Caenorhabditis elegans: one gene and its partners. The protein of the gene in region 3 purifies or fractionates together with the protein of the main gene of each other region. This does not show direct contact. Each region holds a gene or a part of one and is shown on either strand. Other genes may lie near its edges.

Region 1 (6,418 bases), on a different chromosome or scaffold from region 3:
TCAAGTCGAAATTCGAATTCTCCATCAAAAACTACCCCTGAACCCGGATTTTCAGAGCTCTAGTGCAAAATGTCGTCAAATCGGGTGTTTTGGGTTACTGTAGCGTGGTGTTTGCGAACTTGGCACCAGATTTGACGGGATTTTGCACAAAAATTCTGAAAATTGTGGGTAGGGGGTAATTTACCACGCGGAGTTCGAATTTGAGCTTAATTTTTCGAAATTCCCAGATTTGGGCCAAGTTTTCGGTTTAAATTTTAGAAATTTCAGCCAATAAGCTGATTATTTCCCAAAATTGCCTCCTCAATCGGATTCCACGTTGAAGATCACCAACTGCTGGTAAAAGCAAGGCACAAAGCAACTTTTTGAAATTTTGGGCCTGAAATGGCCTGAAATGGCCTGAAACGGCCTGAAGTTCAAGTTTTTCGAATATAGTCGATATGGGTGTTAAATCAACACATTTTTTGCGTAGAATTCAATTTTTTAAGTAAAACAGCTTAAAATTGAAGAGTTTTTGTGAAATTTGAAGAAACAAATTTTCGAAAAAAATAATTATTTTTCATTTTTTTAACAAAAAGAAGTGAGAAAAATAAATTAATAGTAATAGTTATCTTTATGATCTTTGATGTCTCCAGTCATTGGTTGATCCTCAATTGAGCACCAATCCCTACCCCTGACCACTCGAACATATCCCGACTCAGCCCAATCGCCTCCCCAGGAGTTCTTGATAATCCAGTAGTCGTGACTTCTTCCACGGCTATCCTCAACGGTATCGTAACCCACAATTGCTCCGGCATGCCATTGAGTAGCTCTTCTACAATCGTCCTCAATGATCACTCCTTCTTTATATTCTTTGAATTGATCGCCGACTTTGAAATCTGGAATTTTTTTTTTTAATTTCGAGTTTTTTCGAAAAACTTGGAGTTTCTGCAGGTTTTCAGCTAGATTTTTGAATTACACGTTAAATTTGCAAAATTTTAACACCCATATCGACTATATTTCGATAAGTTTGGGTTTTGGGCCAATTTCAGGCCGATTCTAGGCCAAAACAGGCCTGAAAAGAAAGTACTTCATATTCAGCAAAACTTTTGAGTTGGTTATTTAATTTTCAAAATTTTGGCACCGACATCGATTTCGATCGGCAAATTTCGAGTTTCGGGCCGGTTTTAGGCCGGTTTAGGGTAAAATTGGCCTTGAAATGAAATGTTCCAAATATTTTCAAGTTTTCAATTGAATGGTAAAATTGTGACACCAAAACAAAAGAATTTTGAGTATTGAGCCGATTTCAGGCCGAAATAGGCCTGAAACAGGTCTTAAAATATAATTTACTGAAATATAGCCAAAATACTTGGCTTTTAATTGAAATTTTTTTTTGGTACACTAACATGGGCTATAGACTGAAAATTTTGAGTTTCAGGCCGATTTTAGGCCAATTTTAGGCCGTTTCAGGCCCAAATTTCAAATTTCTCCAAATATAGCCAATATGGATGTCAAAACTTTGCAAATTTTTAGGAGATTTTGAATTTAATAATTTCAAAACTCCCGGATGTCCCATGTCCCCCAGTTGGTCCCGCCGACTTACAGACAGCTACTGGGACCTTCCACTCGGTGAGCACCTGGATGATTTGTTCTTCGGCTCGGCGTGGGTTGATTACGGCAAAGTTGAAGGCTCTCTGAACAAAATTTGGTAGAAAATTAAAAAATTTGATTCTAAAAAAAGTAAAAATTTTGAAAAAAAAATTTTTGAAAAAAAAATTTTTTTTTTTGGAATTTTTTCAAATTTTCAAATTTCCAACTCACAGCCGGCACAATTCTGTCAGTTTCTCTTAAACGACATCTTCTGCCCTGGTTAGCCCGATTTTGATCGTAAGGATAGTCTTCATCTCCAGAAAGCCCATATTTCTTGACGTACTGGACTCCGAGGGTCAAGCTTCCTCCCTTACATCCCGGTGTTCCTTCCGTACCGCAATCACAAACCTCTTGGTCAGATAGGGACTGAAAATATTCAAAAATTTACATAGAAATTCAAAAATTCAGTGAAATTCTGAAATTCTGCCAAGTTTAACTGAAAAATTTGAAACTACCGTAACTTTGCCAATTTTTAAGATTTTTTTTAGTTTCAAACTGAAAATTGCGCCTAATTATATGATCTGCTATATTTGTAGTAGTCAATCATGAAAAAATGTCAGTTTTGAGGTTGTAAATGCGCTCCAATGAGAATTCTTACAAATTCTGTTGATTTTGACTAGAAAATTTGAAACATCCGTAAATAGGTCAATTTTCAAGATTTTCTTATTTTTAAAAAAGAAACTAGTGAAATAACATGTGATCTACACTAAATACATTGAAAATTTGAAAAAAAAAATTAGTTTTGGGCTTGCCAATGCGTTTCAATAAGAATATTTCAAAATTTCTCATTTTTTGACCCAAATTTGTGAAAAATCGTATCTTGGCCAGTTTTCAAGATTTTCTTATTTTTCCAAAAGAAACTAGTAGAGAAACATGTGATCTACATTAACTATGCACAAAAAAATAAGAGAAAAGTTAGTTTAGGGGTTGTAAATGCGCTCCAATGAGAACTCCTCAAAACTCTGTGTATTTTGACTAGAAAATTTGAAACATCCGTAATTTGGCCAATTTTCAAGATTTTCCAAATTTAAAAAACGTGTACAATACCAATTTTTGCAAAGTTTAATATTAAAATAGTCAAAGTCTAATAAAATTTAGTGTAAAAGCAGTAAACGCACTCCGCTGAGAACCTACTGAAAATTCGTTCAACTTCGCTTTAAACACTTGAAACTAACGTAACTTTGCCATTTTTCAAAATGGAAAACATAGCAAAAAATGTGATCTACGATATATTTACAGAAAAATAGAATTAAATTTCAGGCTAGAGGGTGTAAATGCGCTCCAACGGCAATGTTTTCTGTTTTCAAAAAAAAATCGAAAAATTCGAGTTTTCACGCCAATTTTTCACCGATTTTCCTCGAACTTTCACAGTTTTCATTCAAATTTTTCAAATAATTGTTTTATTTTTACCTTAAACTTTCCAGAATGTGCTGCATACACAGTCTCCACCAGTGCGGTGACCGCGAATCCCCAGCAACACGCACATTGCCCCTGATCCTTGATCGGGCCCACAATGTATCGCCCGTTGATTTTCTCGTTTCTCAAGTCGAAATAGTCTGGATAGCGTGTTGATCTACGCTTATGGCGTGTTTTATTCATGTCGGCCGCGCGAAAATCCGGTTTTTTCTTGTCGAAGTTGAGCATTGGGAGCCCTGTATTGTTGCTGGGCACTACATTGGACAAACGGCCGTGGAATTCGGCGGTGGATAGGTCAGAAAACTTGTTAATGCCAAATTGGGTGTCATATCCGGCTGCTTTTGACTTTGCGTTTAATCTGAAAAAAATTGAAAAAAAACCGAAAAAAAAAAATTTTTTTGAAATTTTTTTTCGAAATTTTTTATTCAAAAATTTCATTTTTAAACTCAAATTTAAAACATTTTCATTATGAAATTCGAAATCTACGCCTCAAATTACCCCTGTCCCGAAATTTTCAACGCTTTAGTGCAATTTTGCGTCAAATCTGGTGTTTTTGGTTACTGTAGCCTAGTGTTTGTGGACCTTACACCCAATTTGACGGAATTTTGCGCTAAATTTTTGAAAAACGGGGTTAGTGGTTATTTGCTACGTAGAATCCGAATTTCGACTCGAAATTTGAAAATTCTGAAGTTTGGGCCATGTTTTTTTTCACTTACTTATCGACATTGTTGTAGGATTTTACGAAATTATTGAATCTCTGCTGATTCTCCGACTCGTCCTTGTATTTTCGGTTGTACCTGTGAAAAATTATGTTTTTTTTCTCAAAAGTGGCTTAAAACGGCAACAATAAGATTTCTGAAAAATTTTAATAGAAATGTTCAATTATTTCTGAAAATCGAAATTTCAACACTTCAAAACCATTTTTTTTTTGAAAAATTATGTAAAAATTCGAATTCTCCACCCAAAATTACCCCTGCACCCTATTTTTCAACAATTTCGTGCGAAATGTCGTCAAATCCGGTGTTTTGGGTTACTGTAGCCTGGTGTTTGCGTACCCGGCACCCGATTTGACGGGATTTTGCACTAAAATTCTGAAAACTCAGGCGTAGGGGTTATTTGCTATGGGGAATCCGAATTTTTAATTGATTTTTCAAAATTTTGAAGTTTGGGCCAAGTTTTCGTTATTAAAAAAACTCACTTTTTTTTAAAATCCTCAAAAGCCTTGTAGAGCTTCTCCGGATGGTCCCGATCGATATTAATTTCAAAAAATTCGGGTTCTGTAATATTGATGGAAACTACCCCTGAAATGGGTAGAACCACCAGGAAAATCACGAAAACTTGCATTTTCGCGGCGAAATTTTGATTGCCTCGGGCTACGGTTGGCTTTTAAGCTTCCGAGTTTTATGGCCGAAATCGTAAAATTTTCCACTTTTTCGGGGGAAAAAGTTGGAAAGATCGGGGTGATTCTGCACATTTCGACATCGAATTTGTTGGGGTTCTTTTATAGATTTTTGGTGTTGACAGGGGGTTGAAAAATTAATTTATGAGCAAGTTATTGAAAATTTTGATTTTTTTCAAGCCTTGTTACATGAAAATTTGGAATCTTCATAAAATTTCCGTTTATTTGACCCCCATATTGGCTATATTCGAGGAAATTTGAATTTCAGACCAGTTTTAGGCCGTTTCGGGCTTTTTGGAGCCCAAATATCAATACACTCAGTTTAATGCCAGTGCGTTTGTAGTAATTTGCCAACTTGTATAAGGAACTACTAAATTGGTTATGTTTGCGGAAAATTGAATTTCAGACCAGTTTTAGGACAGTTCAGGCCGTTCTAGGCTTGAAAACAAATATTGACGGGTATATGTCGATAATTTCAGCAAACGTTTTTGAAAAATTTGAAACTGTGAAATAAAAGTTATTTAAAGGAAAGTTTTGTATTTCAGGCCATTTTCAGGCTCCGGGCCGTTTTTTGCCCAAAATTTCAAAGTTTGTAGAACATAGCCAATATGGGTTTCAAAACTAGGCAAATTTCATGAAGAACACGAATTTTGAGTTCATATTTCTCAAAATTTTACCGGGTGTCCCCGAATGTCCCATAGGTGTCCCATAAGTGTCCCACTCGTGGTTTTCAGGCTATATTTGTCAGAAGTTGCTCTTTTTTTACAGAAACACTTGCATAGATGTAGTTAAGCGTTTATATTGCAAATTAAAACATGAAAAATGGTTTAATTTTGAACGGTTCAAATATTTTTCCAAAAAAAATTTTTTTTTTAATGTACATGGCAATATTTTTTATATCATTTTTATGGATTTGACATTTACATCGGCTATATTTCAAGAAACTGGGCTTGTCGAAATGATTTGGACCGATTCGGGCCGTTTCAGGCCGTTTCAGGCCTGAATTTCTAGATTTTCTGGAACTGCGTTTTCACTTTTAGGTTTTTCTTATTACTGCAAAATTTCTACACTTACCTTGACCTAAATTCGTGGTGCTCATATTTCAAGTCTAGAACGGCCTGAAATGGCCTGAAATTGGCCTGAAATTCAACATTTCATTGTTATGCAAGTTAAATCAAAAGGCTGAAAATTATCTTGAAGTTTTAGGTGAAGAAAATCTATTTTTCAATAAATTTTGAGTTTCGGGCCAGTTTCAGGCCGTTCTGGGCCGTTTTTTGGCCAAAACGTCCAAATGTTCAGAGTATAATCAATATGGGTGTTAAAATTTTGCAAATTTTATGAAGAACACGAATTTTACATTTTTATTGTTTAAAATGTCCCCTGGTGTCCCCGAATGTCCCATAGGTGTCCCATAAGTGTCCCTCTCATGGTTTTAGGCTATATTTGTCAGAATTTGCTCATTTTTTTTACAGAAACACTTTAAAAATTGTAATTAAACGTTTATTTTATGAAAAATGCCAATTAAAACATAAAAATTATCAAAAAATTACAAAAAAAGTTTAATGAATGCAATCAGTGCCCTCTCCTGGGTATCTGTTAGCCAAATTGAGGGTTCCGATGTCGAAAAGTTGAGCTTCTTTGGATCCTTTACCAACTGCATTTTTTGGAACATGAATAGTCACTTTTTTTGGGCAGAGCTGAAAATTTCAAAATTTTTGAATTTTTTTTAAATAGGAAAAAAATCGAATTTTTTCAATTTTTTTCTCCAAAAACCTACTCCAGAATAGTTGCATTTATGATAAATATTGATTTTCGGGTCAATCTTGCGGATTTTATTCTGGGATCCCGAGACCTTGAATGTTCCATCAGCAATTGTTTTCACCGAGTCCATTTTCGTGTCGTAGACTGCAGAAAATTGTATTTTTGTGAAATAAAATGTTCAAAGTTAACATTTTTGTTGTTAAAACTAGGAAATTC
Region 2 (7,002 bases), 3.2 Mb from region 3:
CCCCTAACACTGTACAATGTCGATTTACGCAGCTCGTGTACTCCCCGAGGATAAGTGAAAAATCAATGGTTTTGGTCAAAATTGCATGTTTTGCTTAAATTTTGGATTTTGGCTTCTTTTTTAAATTCAAACAAATTTGTCGATTGGCCGATATGCCGGAATCTTTCAATTACGGCAATTTGCCGATTTGCCGGGAATTTCCATTTTCATGCAAAATAATTGCTGATTTAATAATATATGGCGCCCACGCCTGGAAACAGCGACGGTTTTTTGAAAAAGAGATATAATTGCGATTTGAACATTAAATTCGGAAAGAATCGGATCATAATCTTCTCCTCGTGGAGTACACGACTTCCGTAAATCGACAATCTTCAATTTTAAAATTCAATTAATTTTGTTAAGATTGAAACTATTTTCAGTAACAAAAGTTTCCTTCAATGCTCCTATGCCCTCCAACAAGGTGATTTGTTCTGATCTTTACGATTGTGATTGGTAAACAATAAAATAACTGAAAAAAGATTTAAATATGCCTATTTTATTCCAGGTATTGGGGAGATTTGGACTGGAAATGGGCAGAACGGCTGCTCCTTTTGTGCCCAATCGGATATTTTTTAATTCGAGACAGTCGAAGTGAAACTCATCTTTTCACTGTTTCTTATCATTTTCAAGGTATTGTTTTTCAAAAAATCAATTTTTTCCAAATAAATATAATTTCAGATAGAGTCTATCATTCGCGCTTGTCACTTGAAGATTCACGACGGAATTTGGGTAGTCGGCAGCCATACGTCTCACGTGACTATTGGAATCTTGTGGAAATTATTGAGAGAAGTTTAGAGGTATGTAGTACATTTAAAAATATCTATGATTTTTGATTTTAAAAAAATCGGAAAAGAGTAAAACTTTAAAAAAAAATTGTGACAGGCCAAAAAGGTCGAAAATATTTTTCGAAGAGTTAAAAAAAATCGAAATTTTCCCAAAATGTTTCCGGAAATCGAAAATATATTTTTTTAAAAGCAAATTATTTTTCCGAAAAACGGAAAAAAACTATTTTTTTTAAGTGAAAATAATTATTTTTCTTTTTAAAAAATTCGAAAACTAAAAAAATTCAAATTTTCCGAAAGTATGTCCTTTTTTTCTCAAAATTAGAAATTAAAAAAGAGTATTAATCAAAAAAAAATTTTTCGGAACATAATTTTAAAAATTAAAATTGAAAAACAAATCAAACACAATACAACCATTTTTTTTCATAAAATCGAGAAAAAATCCTTTTTTTTTCGAAAAACCAAAAAAAAATCACGAGAAAAATAATCGATTGTTCTAAAAAAAATTCACTTTTTTGCAGAAAAAAATTAAAAAATCACCATTTTTGTTCACAAAAAAAACCACATTCCCGAAAGAAAATAGTTCAGTTTTTTCAGAAATTAGTTTTTTTTTCAAAAATCCGAAAAAAACTGAGTTTTTCAAGCAAAAAAATAATTTAATGTTTCAAAAATCAAAAAAAATCGTAGTTTTTCGGAAAAAAACACTAAACTTTTTTCAGCAATCCCTAACAGGACAACAAGAAATGCTCCACTATCGACGTGGACATGAAGCCGAAGCAGCGCGTGTCAATTTAACACGTCCACTCACAAAACGAGAGCTTCTACCATCACTACAGTACCTCTGTCGATTTACCCTGAAAACGAGTCAACAAAAACCACCGACACCCAAAACAGCTCCTCTGCCACCAACGATTTTAAAGTATTTGAGTGATTCGAAATGGATTATTCCTGATTTGAAGAAATGTGAAGAGCAATTGAAATTAAGATTTTGTGTAATTAATAATTAATTGTTTTAGTTTTGAATTATATCGAATTACGGGGTTTTTTTTGAATGCTTAATAAATAACTTTTTTCTCTCAAATTTAAGTTATATATTCATAAAATCTCGGTTTCTTTCCAGAAAAATTGTCACGGATCCTGTTTTTTATTAAATTTTCAAACATTTTTTTAAGATCGTGAAAATTTTGAAATTAAAAAAAAGAACCTTTCGAGTAATCAAATTTTTTTTTAATTGGAAAAGAATAATTTTTTCAGGCATTTAGAAAATGTCGACAATCTTCGCCCTATCGTCTGGCACATTGCCAAGCGCAATTGCGATGTTCCGCGTTTCAGGTTAATTTTCAGAACAATTGAAAAAAAAAATTCCATTAGGTTACGAATGGTTCATTTTGAAAAAATTTCTGCCAAAATAGCCATAAACAATATAAAAATCTCTGAAAAAATTCGTACGATGCTCTTGCGAAACCCCCCCCCCCCCCAAAAAAAGGCTTTCTGAGCTTACTGTTCACAGTATTCACAGTATTTTTTCCAGGATCACAAAGCCTCCCCGTACTCCGCCAGCTGAGCCGTCGAAAAGTTTGGAAGCCGAAAACGATGAAATACACGAAATTGTACGATTCAGAGAGCAAAATCATCGATGAAGCAATGGCGGTATATCTTCCCGGCCCGAAAACGTTTACCGGAGAAGACACAGCCGAGTTTTTTCTACATGGAAGTCAGGCCGTGGCCGTGAAGTTTGCCTCATGTTTGGCTGGAATTCAAAATGTTCGAGAAGCGAAGCGAGGAGAATTCACGAGGAGGTTATTATTAGCATACGATTTTCAAAAATCGGGGTTCAAACCAGGGATGGGCAGCAATTGCCGTTCGGCAAATTTTTTTCGACAAATTCGGCGATTCCGGCAATTTGCCGATTTGCCGGAAATTTCAATTCCGACAATTTGCTGATTTGCCGATTTGCCAATTTGCCGGAAAAATTGTTTGCCGTCCACCCCTGGTTAAAACGCGCTCCACGGCTAAAAGTTGGGTCTCGCTAGGTTTTGGCTGCTGCAAAACCGTAATTTCGAACGTTTTCAATAAGTTTTCGTTATTTTTGTTATGTTTCCTGTCGTTTATTAATTAATTTTATGTTGAAAAAATGTCCAAAAGTGCTTTAATTTTTCATTTAACCATGAAAACAAAATAACATTAGAGTTTTTGGTTTTGCCGCCGAATAAAAATTCCAAACTTTCCGCAGTTGAGCGCGCTTGCACATCTGTTTCAAAATATTTTGAATGCATTTAAATGCACATTTTGGGTCTCTATAATAACTCTTAGTTAATTTACAGAGCATTTCACAACGGAAAATTGAGCATTTCCGAGGTTCGAGGAATCGATCGGCTAATTAAATCTCGAACCGAAAAAGAACGAAATGCGGCATTTGGTCAAATGCGTGGTGGAGTTCGAGCTATTGAAATAAGGTATTGAAGTGAGAAAAATTGGAATTTTATATTGTTCGCAAGCAATTTGAAAAAACAAAAAAATCCCTCGAGATTTGGAATTTTTGGAAAAAAAAACTTAAAAAAAAAAGGAAAAAAAAAGATTTATAGGGATTTTTAAAAATTTCATTAAAACTTATGATATCGTACGAGCTTTTCAATAATACATTTTTTCAAATTGCCGGAATAGAAATGTCCGGCAAATCGACAATTTGTCGGTATTGAAAACTTCCGGCGAATCAGAAAATTGCTGGAATTGAAATTTCCGGCAAATCGGCAAATTGCTGGAATTGAAATTTCCGGCAAATCGGCAAATTGCTGGAATTGAAATTTCCGGCAAATCGGCAAATTGCTGGAATTGAAATTTCCGGCAAATCGGCAAATTGCTGGAATTGAAATTTCCGGCAAATCGGCAAATTGCTGGAATTGAAATTTCCGGCAAATCGGCAAATTGCTGGAATTGAAATTTCCGGCAAATCGGCAAATTGCTGGAATTGAAATTTCCGACAAATCGGCAAATTGCTGGAATTGAAATTTCCGGCAAATCGGCAAATTGCTGGAATTGAAATTTCCGGCAAATCGGCAAATTGCTGGAATTGAAATTTCCGGCAAATCGGCAAATTGCTGGAATTGAAATTTCCGGCAAATCGGCAAATTGCTGGAATTGAAATTTCCGGCAAATCGGCAAATTGCTGGAATTGAAATTTCCGGCAAATCGGCAAATTGCTGGAATTGAAATTTCCGGCAAATCGGCAAATTGCTGGAATTGAAATTTCCGGCAAATCGGCAAATTGCTGGAATTGAAATTTCCGGCAAATCGACAAATTTCTGGAATGGAAATTTCCGGGAAATCGGCAACTTGCCGGAATTGAAATTACCGATAAATCGACAATTTGCCGGAATTGGAAATTTCCGGCAAATCGGAAAATTGCCGGAATTGAAATTTTCGGCAAACCGGCAATTTGCCAATTTGCTGAATTTGTCGACAAAAACTTCGTGCCGCATACCCCTGACATTTACTCTCAATTTCAGGAAGCAATTAATTCAAATTCTATCGAAACTATTTGTGATCATTGATTTTGGAGAACACGTGAACTTGGAATTACGCGAAGCTCAACAAGATGTCTCTGAAATTCTTCATGAACTCAATCGAATGATCAAAGCGTGGGATGGTGCAGAACGGGCTCAACGTGGATTGGATATTGTGCTCTATGGAAGACCGAATTCCGGAAAATCAAGCATTTTAAATCAGTTAGCGCATGATGACGTGGCAATTGTTAGCTCGATTCCTGGAACCACGAGAGATAGTTTGGAAGTAAAAATGATCATATAAACCTATTGAAGTGTTAAAATTTTTCAAATTTTTCAAAAATTAACCAAAAAATTTCAATCAAATTTTCTTTTGCGATTTTTTTTTCTGAAACTAAAATCAGTTTTTCCAAAACTACAGTAATCCTACAGTATTCCCTACAATACTACTACAGTACTCCAATCATATCCCCCTATTAACACCAAACTAATAACCCTTCAAAATACGAAAAACCAGTTTTTCTCCAACTACAGTAACCCTACAGTAATCCTACAGTATTCCCTACAGTACTACTACAGTACCCTAGCCACGTTCCCTTGAACAATCAATTTTGAAACTCCTCTAAAACACACAATTTTGAAATTTAAAAAGTGGCAAAAATTCCAATTTTTTGTAAAAATTCACAATTTTGAAACTCTTCTAAAATGGGCAATTTTGTAGCTAGAGGACTCAAAATTGATCTGCAAACATTAAAAAAATTTTCCTTTTTAAGAATATAATAGTTTTGAACATTTTTAGGGAAATTATTTTTTTGCCCAAAATAAAAAAAGGATAGTCATTAGATGGCTGAAAATAGTTTGGGCAAAAATAAAAAGTTGTCTAAATTTGTTGAAAACGGGTAATTTATGTATGTTGAATTCAGAAAATCTAGGTTTAACCCGTCAAAAACTTTTAAAAAGTGGCAAAAATGGCAGATTTATGGCAAAAATTCACAATTTTGAATCTTCTCTAAAATGGGCAATTTTGTAGCTAGAGGACTCAAAATTGATTTAGGATTATAAAAAAATTGACCTTTTTCAGAATATAGTAGTTTTAAACATTTTCAGAAAAATTATTTTTTTGCCCAAAATAAAAAAAAAGGACAGTCATTAGATGGCTGAAAATAATTTGGGCAAAAATAAAAAGTTGTCTAAATTTGTTGAAAACGGGTAATTTATGTATGTTGAATTCAGAAAATCTAGGTTTAACCCGTCAAAAACTATTAAAAAGTGGCAAAAATGGCCAATTTATAGCAAAAATTCACAATTTTGAATCTTCTCTAAAACGGGCAATTTTGTAGCTCAAAAGACGAAAAGTCAATTTTTCGAAAACTACGGTAATCCTACAGTACTCCTAGAGTGCCTGGAAAATGTTCCAAACATTAATTGAAAATCTTACAGACAATCATTCAAATTAACGGAGTTCGATGCCGTCTCACAGACACTGCTGGAGTTCGACAAAAAACTAATGACGTCATTGAGGCAGAAGGTATTCGACGTGCTCAAAAACGAATCCAATCAGCTGACATTATCTGCGTTGTCGTGGATCCACAATTCACGTCGGATGACGATGTTGAATCGATTTTGAATGACGTGGAAGTGATGCGAAATCGCGAAGCTCGTGTGATTATTGCAAAGAATAAGTCTGATCTGAGTCTGAAGTATCCAAAACTTCCCTCAAATTTCACTACTGTATCTACAAATGCTACCACAGATACTGGCTGCAAACAACTTCAAAACTGTTTGGGAGAAATTGTAGATGATCTGTGTCCTGAAGCAAGTTATTTACTAGATGCAGATCTGTTAAGGTTTTTTTTTGTCAAAAAATAATATTCAAAGTTGTTTTAATTTCAGAAGATGCTCATTCGAATTGGAGTCAGCTGTAACGTGTAACGACGCAGCAATCATGTGTTCACATCTGGAAGTTGCCTTGGAACAAATCGGAGAGCTCACCGAGGGAATTGTCACTGAAAGTGTTCTAGATGGAATTTTTAGCAAATTTTGTATCGGAAAATAAAAGCTTTGACCATTTTTGGCACTTTTAAATAGTTTTTTTTTGGGTTAAACCTAGATTTTCTGAATTCAGCGTGTATGAATTACCCGTTTTCACCTTTTGATTTTTGCCCAATTTTTTTTCAGCCATCTAATGACTGTCCTTTTTTTATTTTGGGCAAAAAAAAAAGTTTTCTGAAAATGTTCAAAGCCACTATATTCTGATAATGGACAATTTTTTAGTCTTTATAGATCAATTTAGAGTCATCTAACTTCAAAATTGCCCATTTTAGATGTGTTTCAAAGTTGTGAATTTTTGCCATAAATTGCCCATTTTTGCCATTTTTTAATAGTTTTTGATGGGTTATACCTAGATTTTCTGAAAATTTTTTTTCGGCCATCTAATGACTGTCCTTTTTCTTTTATTTTGGGCAAAAAAATAATTTTTCTCAAAGTGTGCAAAACCACTATATTCTGAAAAAAGGCAATTTTTTATTGTTTGGAGATAAATTTTGAGTCGCCTAGCTATAAAATTAACCATTTTAGAAGAGTTTCAACATTTTGGTTTCGCCCTTTTTTTGTGGTCAAAAAAAATTTATGTTCTGAAGTTGTTCAAAATCACTAATAAGTGAAAAAGAAAAAAAGTC
Region 3 (6,055 bases):
AAGTAATGGATTTCACGAATGGGCAATGTGTTTTTCTGAGGAAAATGAAAAAAATTCAGAAGAAAAACATGCTAATTCAATAATCTTCCCACGGCTGTCAATTATGGGGACTGTTTTTTCAATATTTTGGAAAAATGAGACTTCGGCAAGTGAAGGGTTCCTATGTATATTGGGATTAGTGTACTGTCGGGGGTACTGTAGGGTTACTCGAGGGGGTACTGTAGTGGTGCTAGGGGGATACTGTAGGGGCTTCTGTGAGGTTACAATTGTGGTACTGTAGGGTTACTGTAGGGTTGCGGTAGGGGTTCTGTAGTGATACTGTAGAATTGCTGTCGGCTTACTATAGTGTTGCTGTAGTGTTGCTGTAGGGTTACGGTACAGATACTGTAGGGGTACTGTAGTAATAATTTAGGATAACTCGAGGGGTTCCTTAGTGGTACTGTAGTGATAATTTAGTAGTACTGTAGGCCTATTGTAGCGTTACTGTAAGGGTATCATAGTGGTACTTACTCGATGGAGTACTGTAGCATTACTGTAGGGTTACGGTAGCGTTTCTGTAGGGGAGCTGTAGTGGTACTGTATGGTTACTGTAAGAGTACTTTAGGGTTACTGTAGGGATGATGTTGGGGTACTGTAGGACTACTGTAGGAGTAGTGGGACTGAGACGATAAATTCTTAATTTTCTTCAAGTGGTTTGGTCAGTCACCCATACATCCCGAGAAGTCTATTCCATTTCCACCTGTTTCAATGTAAAAAACTCAATTTAAACATTCAAAACTTTATTTTTTCTACTCAAAAATCAATCAATCAGCTTTCTGTGGCGACTTTGCAGGCGAAGCACTAGTTGGCGTACGTGCTTGTGGTGGACGGATGCGTGGAAGAACCGGTGCACGGGGGACCAGGTCTCGACGCGAAATCACACTGCAGGCTTCGATAAGGACTGAAAAATGAATATTGTAGGTTTAAGGTAGGCACATGGTAAATAAAATTTCGAATCACTAAAAAATTGTATCAGTAACCAGACAACAAACAAGAGATTATCAACGGATTTAGTACTGAAGCCTCTGAAAAAGAAAATAGAAAAATCCGGTTGTTTTGCTACCAAAAAAATACGTTCAGGATAATTTTTTCGCTGAAAAAAGGGGAGAATTATCGATTTTCTCTACCTGCAACAATTCCGGTAGACGGTTTCCATTGATTTTCCTCCAAAAACAGGAATTTCATATTTTTATCAGTTTTGCAAGTGATCGCCGGCGGCGAGAACGGGAATTTCGGCGGAATTGCGACGGTTACGATGTACTCGGTGTAGGGCGGTCCGTACTGAAATTTGATTATTGATTTTTTTTTTGCGTGGCGCCGCCGCTCTCACCGTCTTTAGAGTCACGTCAAAGCAAGTTTTCGACGGCGGCGGCTCGAATCTCACCGCGTAGAACATTCCAGAACCCTCGACAGCCGACGCCTGGAAAAGAATTAATATTTAGAAAATACATCGATTTTTGTTCTGAAAGTAGGGCTCCCATGAGGTCGCCGCATGAATAGTGTGGCGCGGAACCGCAAACATGTCGGCCGCTACCAAATAGCCGCTCCACACACACAGCGGCGCGCGGTGTCGGCGTAAGGCCGGCCGGATAGGGCCAGAGAGGGGCCGGCGTGAAGCCCGAATTTTGCGCCTCACTCAGTTGGGAGCCCTGGGAGCCCCATTTGAAACATTTTTAACTTTCCCAGAAATTCTCGACAATTTTCTGAAAACCTGTCGGTTTTTTTATTGATTTTTCCCCAAAAATCAATAAACTAGAACGCTAACTCACCACGACGCTATCGATCCGTTTTTCGCAAACTTTTTGCATTATTACTTTGAAATTTTCGTGAAATAAATGTTATTCTGGTGTTGGTTGTGTTGTTTTTTGCCGTCGACAGTGAGTTTTCACGTTTTATCGATTTTTTCGAGCATTATCGATTTATCCCGAAAAATCAATAAACTGGAACGTCACGATGCTATCGATTCGTTTTACGCAATCTTTTTGCATTATTGCTCTGAAATTTTCGTAAAATGAATGTGATTCTGGTGTTGGTTGTGTTGTTTTTCGCCGGCGACTGTGAGTTTTTCATGTTTTATCGATTTTTTTCGGAAAAATTATCGATTTTTTTAATTTTCAGGTGCAAAAATCAGAAAAATTATTGATTTTTTGGAGAAAGATGCTCCGAATGATATTGAAAAAACACCCAACTATAATGAAGAAAGTCTGGCGGTGAAAAGGGTAAATTATCGATTTTTGCGATGGGGCGCGTTTGCATTTTTATGGAATTTAAATATTTTTAGAACAAAAACTTCAATCCTTGTCTGGAAAATCCGAAAATTTGCTCAAATCGGGGAAAATGCTTGCATGAAAATGGAAAGTGAGAGTTTTTGCCAACTTTTCAGATTAAAAAGGCAATATTTTCAGCTTCTATTGCATTTGCCCGGTCACACATTACGGAAAAACGTGTGAACACGTGTCAGATCAAACGAATTGCGAGAAACACTTGTGTCAGAATAATTCTACGTGTGTCAGGTTGGAAAACATTCGTTTTTTTCTGTGAATTTTTATGGCAACTGTTTCGGTGTACACAAGTTGTGTCTATGCCCTCCAGCCGTTAGTCGCCGGCGGAGAGATGGCCGAGCGGTCCAAGGCGCTGGTTTAAGGCACCAGTCCCTTCGGGGGCGTGGGTTCGAATCCCACTCTCTTCAGTTCTTTTTTTCCCTTTTTTAAATTATCATTACCTCTGTTTCAGCATCAAAAGCCTGCGGACTATTGTCAATACAGTTCTTTTGAGACAAATTCGTGTCCAAAGAAAAGTAAACGGATCCAAAGCAGCTTTAACAAATGAAGAATTGGCTGAAATCGATTTAGAAGTGAATTACGAGTGTATATGCCAAAAGGGGTACTTTGGCGGGTTATGCGATGAGTCTGAAGCAGATCGAACTTGCCAAGAAGTGTATTGTTTGGGCAGAGGCAAGGGAGCAATTAATGCGACTGGAAAATGCGAGTGTGAATGTGAAAATCAATTCTTTGGAGATAGAGTGAGCGTTTACAACTTCAGAATTTCTTCTGAAATATGTTTAAATTCCAGTGTGAACAAATATCAGCTTGCTTCGACACTCAATGTGATAATGGTGGAATATGTGAAGATGTGGTAGATTGGAAGGTATTTTTTTCAAGATTCGAGAAAATATTTTATCTAAACATAGAAAAACGTAAGCCCAATGCGGGGCTCGAACCCGCGACAACCAGATTAAGAGTCTGGTGCTCTACCGACTGAGCTAACCGGGCGGCGTTAACTCTTACAACAGAGGGTCTAGAGAAATGTTGGGTAACAACGAGACTTGATAGACAGAACAAAAAGTGACCTTCAAATTACACACCTTCTATTTCAGACCAAAACCGTCACTGCCACCTGTAAATGTCCTTCTGCGATTGAACTTATTGGTGGTACTGTAACAGGTGGGTAAAAAAAAAAAAAAAATATTTCAAATTCTGTGAATTTCAGAAAAATTTCAGGTGAAAACTGCGAAACCCTTCAAATTCCTTCAACAGCCCCCAAAGAATTTATTCCATGTGCCGAGGGAAGTAATTCGACGATGTTTTTTAAGAAATTCATCGCAAAGTAGGAAAAGTTTATAGAATGGTTGTAAAACTCACATTTTCAGTATTTCCTTGGAATATATGGATGACATTTCGGAGTTGGAAGCAATTAAAAATGACTACAATGATGGGAAGAATGTCAATGGGACGATGACTGATGGATGGTGTAGAAATGATGGGAAGTGTGTACCTGAAGTTGTTCGAGGTAGGAAAATTCAATTACCACAATTCTCCCGGTAACTCAACTTTTTTCTAACACCTTTTTGTCAGTACGTTCGCCGCCCGGTTAGCTCAGTCGGTAGAGCACCAGACTCTTAATCTGGTTGTCGCGGGTTCGAGCCCCGCATTGGGCTTACGTTTTTGTAAAAATTTTTAACACCGCGCTAAAACGTATGCACAAAATTCTGGCCTATGCCTGCCTTGTTCCATTCTCATACCTAATGTTTCAGTGAACAGCTCCCGAGCCTACTACATCTATCGCTGCGAATGTACCAATCCTCTCACCGACGGTTACTATTGTGAGTACAAACGCCATGACTCTTGCTCTTTGACTCGAGAGGAGGTGGCTCGCGGGGACCGGTGGGACGAAAAGTGCACGGATTCTCAACACGGAGCATGTGTGGATATTAGTGGAGTGGCTCATTGTGTGTTAGTGCACCTACCTGCCTGCCTTTTACCTAGTAGCCCTAATTTCAGATGCAAGCCGGACTACACCGGCGAGAAATGCGAAATCTTCGACCCGTGTGCTCGGCAACCTTGCAAGCACGGTGACTGTATCCCGGTAGGCACATCGAGGCCTCTGAAAATCAGCGAAAAAATTTCAGATACCGAACACTGCCGACGTGGCATTCGGCACAAGTCGCTATCAATGCTTATGCCCATTATCCGCAAAGTTGAACCCGGAAAGCCAAGCCTGCATGGAAATTAACGAGAAGAAGTGTGCTCCCGGAGCCTGTGGCAACGGACGGTGTGTTCCTTGTGAGAGGTAAGAGATTGCCTTTGTACCTACCTACCTACCTACCTACTTTAATATTTTCAGCGATGCCGATGACCTGATGCCTCTCTGTAACGACAATGACAATCGCCAGGGATTCCGATGCCTCTGCGAAGCCGGGTACCTTCCACCGTTTTGCAAAGTCCATACAAACCCCTGCTACCAAAACCTGTGCCAGAACAGTGCCACATGCCATATCGACCCAAAGCAGCGGAGTTATGAGTAGGGCTACAAACTACAGATACTGCAAACTACAGTCGTTCTTTTCAGCTGTCAATGCGTCAATGGGACACGTGGCTCGTTGTGTGAGAATGTGGATGACTCGTGTGATGCGTTTGGTAAGTTAGAAGCTTCATGTTTACCTGCCTGCCTACCGCTAAGCCTACAGGAAACAAAATCTGCGTCCATGGAACCTGTATCAATGATGAGTACTTTCACCGGGGCTTCTCGTGTGAGTGTGACGACGGATTTGAGGGTCTCGACTGCAACGTGGAAATCGCCTGGTCCAGTGTGATGACCAATCGGCTTATGGTAAATTACTCAAATAGTTTAAAATATAATATTTCTGCGTGTTTCAGAAGAACTATGAATTTTCGTTGCCACTGGTTGCGTGCTTCGTCTCGCTGGCTATTCTTCTGCCAGTGATTGTGATCAGTAGACGGCGTCAGGGAAGAGTAGAAGAGGCGAAGAAAACGTCAGAAGTGAAAACTGAGAATCCATAAAGACATTTTTTTTTAATTAATTGTTATTTAACATCTATAAAGCTTTGCAAATATCAGAAAGTTTTGCTCAGGAAATGATCGGTGACACACGGATTCATATTTACGGCGCATTGCGTGTCGCGTCGCGGCTCAATTTTAGCTGTAAAACTAAATGTATTTGTCCGTGTCGAATACACGACTGTCCCACGCGTTGTCCGGCGGGCGATTGCCAATGTAGCGCTCAAATTTCAATGAGGCACGTGTAGTCAGAAAGTCCCATTTCGCTTTGATCTACGAAAAATGCGAGAGGTGAGACGCAGGCATCTCAACTGATTTCGCATGGTTAAGAGTGTGCTGACATCACAATTTGTCTGGAAAAAAATTCCCGCATTTTTTGTAGATCAAACCGCAATGAGACTTTCTGACGCCACGTGATGAGGAAGGCCAGAACCCCGTGGTGCTAGTCCCTCTCTATTTCTCACTATTAGGGGGTCTGCATGGTAGGCAGGCATTGATTCAGGTGGCAGGTCTATCCTGATACCTACCTGACAACCTGCCGTAGGTCTCTTTGAAGGTAGGCATAATTTTTTGCCTACTTGGATGACTCATTCTCGAATTGAAAATCAATTTCTTCCGCCGAACCCCTTCATTCCTCATCGTTATTCGTTATCGGTGTTATCAGTCCCCCTCCCTCGCCCTACACATTCATTTTTCCGTCTATCCTATTTTATACGTTC
Region 4 (4,160 bases), on a different chromosome or scaffold from region 3:
GGCATAGGTAGGCATACCTTTTTTGTCAAAAAAAAAACCTACCGGAACAACTTGTTTCGGCACGAATGGTGGCTGATTTCCAGGAATCGTCATGTTCCAAATTGTCGCCAATGGATCCACGAAGTCTCCGCAGTCTGAAATAATTCCAAATAGGCATGCAATCGTGCCTACCTACGCGCCTACATGCGTGACTAGCCTGAAAGATAGTGATCAGCTTGGCAGTCTACTAGAATCTTCTCAAGCCGCCCCGCACCCCATGTTCTATTAGGGCGGCGGGTCACTGTTACGCGTCGGTCTGGTAGTAGGCATGTAGGTAGGCATGTTTGTGCCTAGGCATGGTAGTACTTACCATTTTTCATAAGCAATCCGCAAAGTTGATGTGGAGTCACGAGAATTTGCTTGATGACATACATGAATTCGTCCTGAAATCTTTGATTTTCAATACATTTTTAAAATTAAATTAAATATTAATGTGTCTCACTGAGAAATCCGAAATAATAAAGTTACAGACATCATTATCTTCAATATGGAACGTTTCACAAATAAAAACCGCAATTTCCATAACACATTCTTCAGTCTTCTTTTCTCCCCACTCAAATTGCAAAAGGTCCACAATTGACTTGCATTCCTCGCATTCTGTCACCGCGAGGGTGCCTGGAAAATTTTTTCCTGGAATTTAAACACAAAAATGTAAATCTAAAACTCTACCCTGAAATGCGAGAGAAAGGACGAGAAGACCTAGGAGCATCGGAGCCGTATCGTTTCTGATGTTAAACGGGAGCAGCGGCGGAGGGGGAGAAGCCGAGGTTTCCAGTAATAAAGATAAGAAATTTGGAGCGGGAGAAGCACATGGCGATGACACGTTGGGAATGCTCACTGATTTTTGAACGACTTATCAGGTATGGAGACTACAAGTTTTTTGGAAACTATAACTTTTTGGAGAGGAAAAGTTCAAATATAGAAATTTTTCTTGAAAATGCACCAAAAAATGTGAATAAAACCTTTTTTCTGGACAAAGTGCCTACGTGCCTGCCTACTGCCTATTTTAGGCACGAGGCAGGCGCAGGTCGCCTAGTAGGCAGCTATCATTTTTGTATCGGCGCGAAAATTTCAAGAGAAACTACAACAATGGCATGTTTTCCTGCAATGTTGAAATTTTATGCCTGCCTACCGCCTATTTTAGGAATGTGTGTAGAACGAGGCAGGTGTAGGTGGTTCTAGTGGCCTGCAGACTAACATTTTTCGTGAACTTGAAAATTAAAAAATAACATTTTAACTAGTTGGGCTTTCCTGCCTGCCTATGGGCCTATCTACTGTAGGCAAAAGGCAGGCGTAGGCCGTTTCAAAGGCGTGTAGAAATTTTCGTGCGAAACCGAAAAAAGTTATGCAATATTAAATTAATATATATCTTCAAAACCAGAATACGTTTTTTCTACCTCTCTACCGCATATTTCTCGCCTGAAGGCATAGGTCGCCTTGCAGGCAAGTGGCACATTTGTGCTTATGTACATTGGAAAGGTTAAGAAAATGTTTTTTTTTAATTTAAATAAAATAAATTACTCCAAAAAACTGCACCAAAAGTTCAATTTAAAAAAAACGTGAACTTCAAAAATACGAGAAGATTCTTATCACATCCCCTACCCCCACTCTGAATTTTTTCATTATTTTTGTATTTCGAAACTTTCGCGTTGCATCTTCTCCCATCATGAAGAAATTGTCCAAAAAAAGCTCGAGAAGAAAAGTTAAAAATATTAACGAAAAAGTAAGTTGTGATTTTCGAAATTTTCAATTTCCAGGCGTCTTCCAGAACTAATTAAATTTCAGAAAAAGAAATCTAAGGCACGCAGTCATAAAAAGCAACAACTTCAAAAGTCGAAGCAACATGGTAAAAATAAGAAGACAAAAACTAAGTCAACTAGTGGATCTTTGTCGGTGGATAAATCGAAAGAGTCGGAAAAGATGTTGATAGCAAGGAAAAATGATTCAAGAACGGTGAATTACAAGGAAAAAGCACCGGAAGCTGTAAAAGATCATGAGATTCCTAATGCAAATCGCAGTGAGTTCTAGTGTTTTTTTTTTGAAATTTTTTTGGAAACTTTTAAAGGGCTCAGGAAAGTTTTTTAAACGGTTCGGAAGTTTTAGAAACCTTTGGAAAATTTCTGGAAGATTCTGGAAAGTTTTTGGAACGTCTGATGACTTTGAAAAATTCCAAAAATTTTCAGAAGCTTCTGGGAGCATCTAGACATTTTTGAAAGCTTATGAAAAATTTTTAAAGCCTCTGGAAACTCTTGAAACATTTTTTATTCGAAAAAAAAAAATCAATTTGAAACATTGAAATCCACGACGTCCACGTGGAAGCAAAATTATTTAATGACGTATAAAAAAAATTCCAACAAAAAAATTGTGCTTGCCTGTTCATCTTCTGCCTTTAGGTAGACACTAAAATGCCTACCTACCTTAGTAGGTAGGTAGGCAGGCATCTTTGTACCTACCTGAAAATCCAAAACCCTAACACCTCCACAATTTCCTGTTTCAGTTCCCGGAACGACACGGCTCAACGAACCGAAAAACATCGAGGTCACGAATCACGAGGTGGATGATAAGACGACGGAGCGAGTCTATAAGAAGTTGAGGGAAAAGAAGAAGTCGGCGGCGAAACCGAAACCAATCGATGCGAAAAGCAAGCTTCTGATGGATCGAGTGCCGAAAAAACCATATCGATTGAAGAATAAGCCCGATGGTATGATGTTGTGCGACGAGCCATCCACTTTCTACCGTACCAACACTTCAAAGAAGAAACTGAAGACGTCTTTACTTCCCGTTGAGGATTCTTATGATCACGTTCGAAAATTGGAGGACATTAAGAAGGAACCAGAGCAAGATGTGTACAAGGGTCAGGACGTCCCCACCTGGGCAGTAAAAATAGAACCAACTGACGATGACATGGTGAGTTATCTTTTTGTGTAGGTCTCAGGAAAAATAATTTTAAAAAATTTCAGAAAGAGACCGACGAGGCGATCACTGTGAGTACCGATCATTTGGAGATGTACCGAAACAAGAAGCTCAGTCTCAAAAGCATTCCCCCCACGAAACTGGTGCTCAACGAGCTACAACCGTTGGTGGAGTTGAAGAAGAGAGATGAAGTTCACTTTGAGACCGGGCTGGTGTTCTCCAACACGATTCGGAGTCTGTTGCTTGTCCATGAGAGTGCTCGAGCGCTGAGTGATGGAAAAGTGGATGATGAGTATTCCGACAAGAAGGTCCAGTTTGATACACAGGAACCGGAAGCAACATACATCTACTCGGTGAGATATTCCCGGCTGGGGAACAGCTAATTGAAAATTTTCAGAGAATCAACCCAATCGAATCGGCCAAAGCCGCTCGTTCTGGAAAGTGACACGCCAGCACTTCTACCACCAATACAACCACATCGAATTAGAACTGAACTTGATTTTGCCTTGATTTTATAAATAAAGTGTGCGTTCAGGGCTTAATTTAAAAATTTTTATTAATTTTAATAAGGAAATGCGAGCAAAAAAGTGAAAAAGGTTTCAATTTTTGCAGTGGGAGTGGATAGAAAGTAAAACAATGAAATCATTATGTGATGAGCGAGGTAAGGAATAACAGAAGAAGGCAATAAATACAAGTTTTTGAAAAAAATTTAAGTGAGAGTGGAGTAAATAAAAATGATGATGGGAGCTTAGTTCTGGACTTGGGAGGGAAATTGGTACTTACATTAGTTAATTTAGGTAAAAACCTGAAATTTTAAATTCCGGCAATTTTCCCTTTGGCCGATTTGCCGGAAATTTTTAAAGGGATTTTTTAACAGACGGATGAATTTTTTCTGTTTTTTCTACATATTTTCATAGAGCTTACTTTTAAAAATAGATGTAGGAACATTTATACGATGCGTACAATTTTGTCATTTGAAATTGAAACTCTGAAATTTCCAAAAAAAAAGTGCGAAACCACAATTTGCCGAGAATTTTTTCCGGCATATTTTCTAATAGTATTGCATGCGATACTAATTTCCGGATACCTTTTCAGTGCAATACTATTAGAGACTGCAAGACTAATTTCTTTGGGTGCAATACTAATAGAGAACATACGGTAATCGAAAAGTGAAATTAATATGCATTTTTAGGTTTAAAAAACACTAA

What was found.
Region 1: the proteins of spe-9 (region 3) and Y51A2D.8 fractionate together in Caenorhabditis elegans (co-fractionation; one large-scale study listed by BioGRID). This does not show direct contact.
Region 2: the proteins of spe-9 (region 3) and mtcu-1 fractionate together in Caenorhabditis elegans (co-fractionation; one large-scale study listed by BioGRID). This does not show direct contact.
Region 4: the proteins of spe-9 (region 3) and W03G1.2 fractionate together in Caenorhabditis elegans (co-fractionation; one large-scale study listed by BioGRID). This does not show direct contact.

Annotation. Positions count from the first base shown.
Region 1 is NC_003283.11:18,549,461-18,555,878, forward strand, and holds Y51A2D.8 (Cysteine proteinase), read right to left. Parts: upstream 4,391-6,418; 5' UTR 4,387-4,390; coding exon 4,241-4,386; intron 3,840-4,240; coding exon 3,759-3,839; intron 3,401-3,758; coding exon 3,037-3,400; intron 1,993-3,036; coding exon 1,798-1,992; intron 1,671-1,797; coding exon 1,580-1,670; intron 876-1,579; coding exon 592-875; 3' UTR 543-591; downstream 1-542. Other genes in the region: ttr-24 (TransThyretin-Related family domain), read right to left, coding at 6,001-6,138, 6,219-6,346.
Region 2 is NC_003279.8:14,770,081-14,777,082, reverse strand, and holds mtcu-1 (TrmE-type G domain-containing protein), read left to right. Parts: upstream 1-2,075; 5' UTR 2,076-2,086; coding exon 2,087-2,153; intron 2,154-2,352; coding exon 2,353-2,620; intron 2,621-3,145; coding exon 3,146-3,277; intron 3,278-4,327; coding exon 4,328-4,610; intron 4,611-5,764; coding exon 5,765-6,171; intron 6,172-6,217; coding exon 6,218-6,380; 3' UTR 6,381-6,394; downstream 6,395-7,002. Other genes in the region: F39B2.5 (SH2 domain-containing protein), read left to right, coding at 446-492, 545-669, 718-836, 1,541-1,828.
Region 3 is NC_003279.8:11,582,043-11,588,097, reverse strand, and holds spe-9 (Sperm transmembrane protein 9), read left to right. Parts: upstream 1-2,028; 5' UTR 2,029-2,050; coding exon 2,051-2,096; intron 2,097-2,157; coding exon 2,158-2,258; intron 2,259-2,320; coding exon 2,321-2,397; intron 2,398-2,444; coding exon 2,445-2,552; intron 2,553-2,641; exon of another isoform or gene 2,642-2,740; intron 2,741-2,772; coding exon 2,773-3,061; intron 3,062-3,111; coding exon 3,112-3,186; intron 3,187-3,238; exon of another isoform or gene 3,239-3,311; intron 3,312-3,415; coding exon 3,416-3,482; intron 3,483-3,539; coding exon 3,540-3,645; intron 3,646-3,688; coding exon 3,689-3,828; intron 3,829-3,897; exon of another isoform or gene 3,898-3,987; intron 3,988-4,072; coding exon 4,073-4,271; intron 4,272-4,319; coding exon 4,320-4,404; intron 4,405-4,447; coding exon 4,448-4,608; intron 4,609-4,662; coding exon 4,663-4,839; intron 4,840-4,887; coding exon 4,888-4,955; intron 4,956-5,005; coding exon 5,006-5,148; intron 5,149-5,195; coding exon 5,196-5,339; 3' UTR 5,340-5,355; and 1 more. Other genes in the region: C17D12.5 (UBC core domain-containing protein), read right to left, coding at 804-940, 1,167-1,320, 1,370-1,459, 1,809-1,847. UniProt on the Caenorhabditis elegans protein: Required for fertilization. May be required for cell adhesion and/or function as a signaling molecule.
Region 4 is NC_003282.8:522,992-527,151, forward strand, and holds W03G1.2 (Ribosomal RNA-processing protein 8), read left to right. Parts: upstream 1-1,660; 5' UTR 1,661-1,705; coding exon 1,706-1,762; intron 1,763-1,824; coding exon 1,825-2,056; intron 2,057-2,536; coding exon 2,537-2,946; intron 2,947-2,999; coding exon 3,000-3,305; intron 3,306-3,349; coding exon 3,350-3,397; 3' UTR 3,398-3,500; downstream 3,501-4,160. Other genes in the region: Putative sphingomyelin phosphodiesterase asm-3, read right to left, coding at 43-134, 350-422, 482-654, 709-748.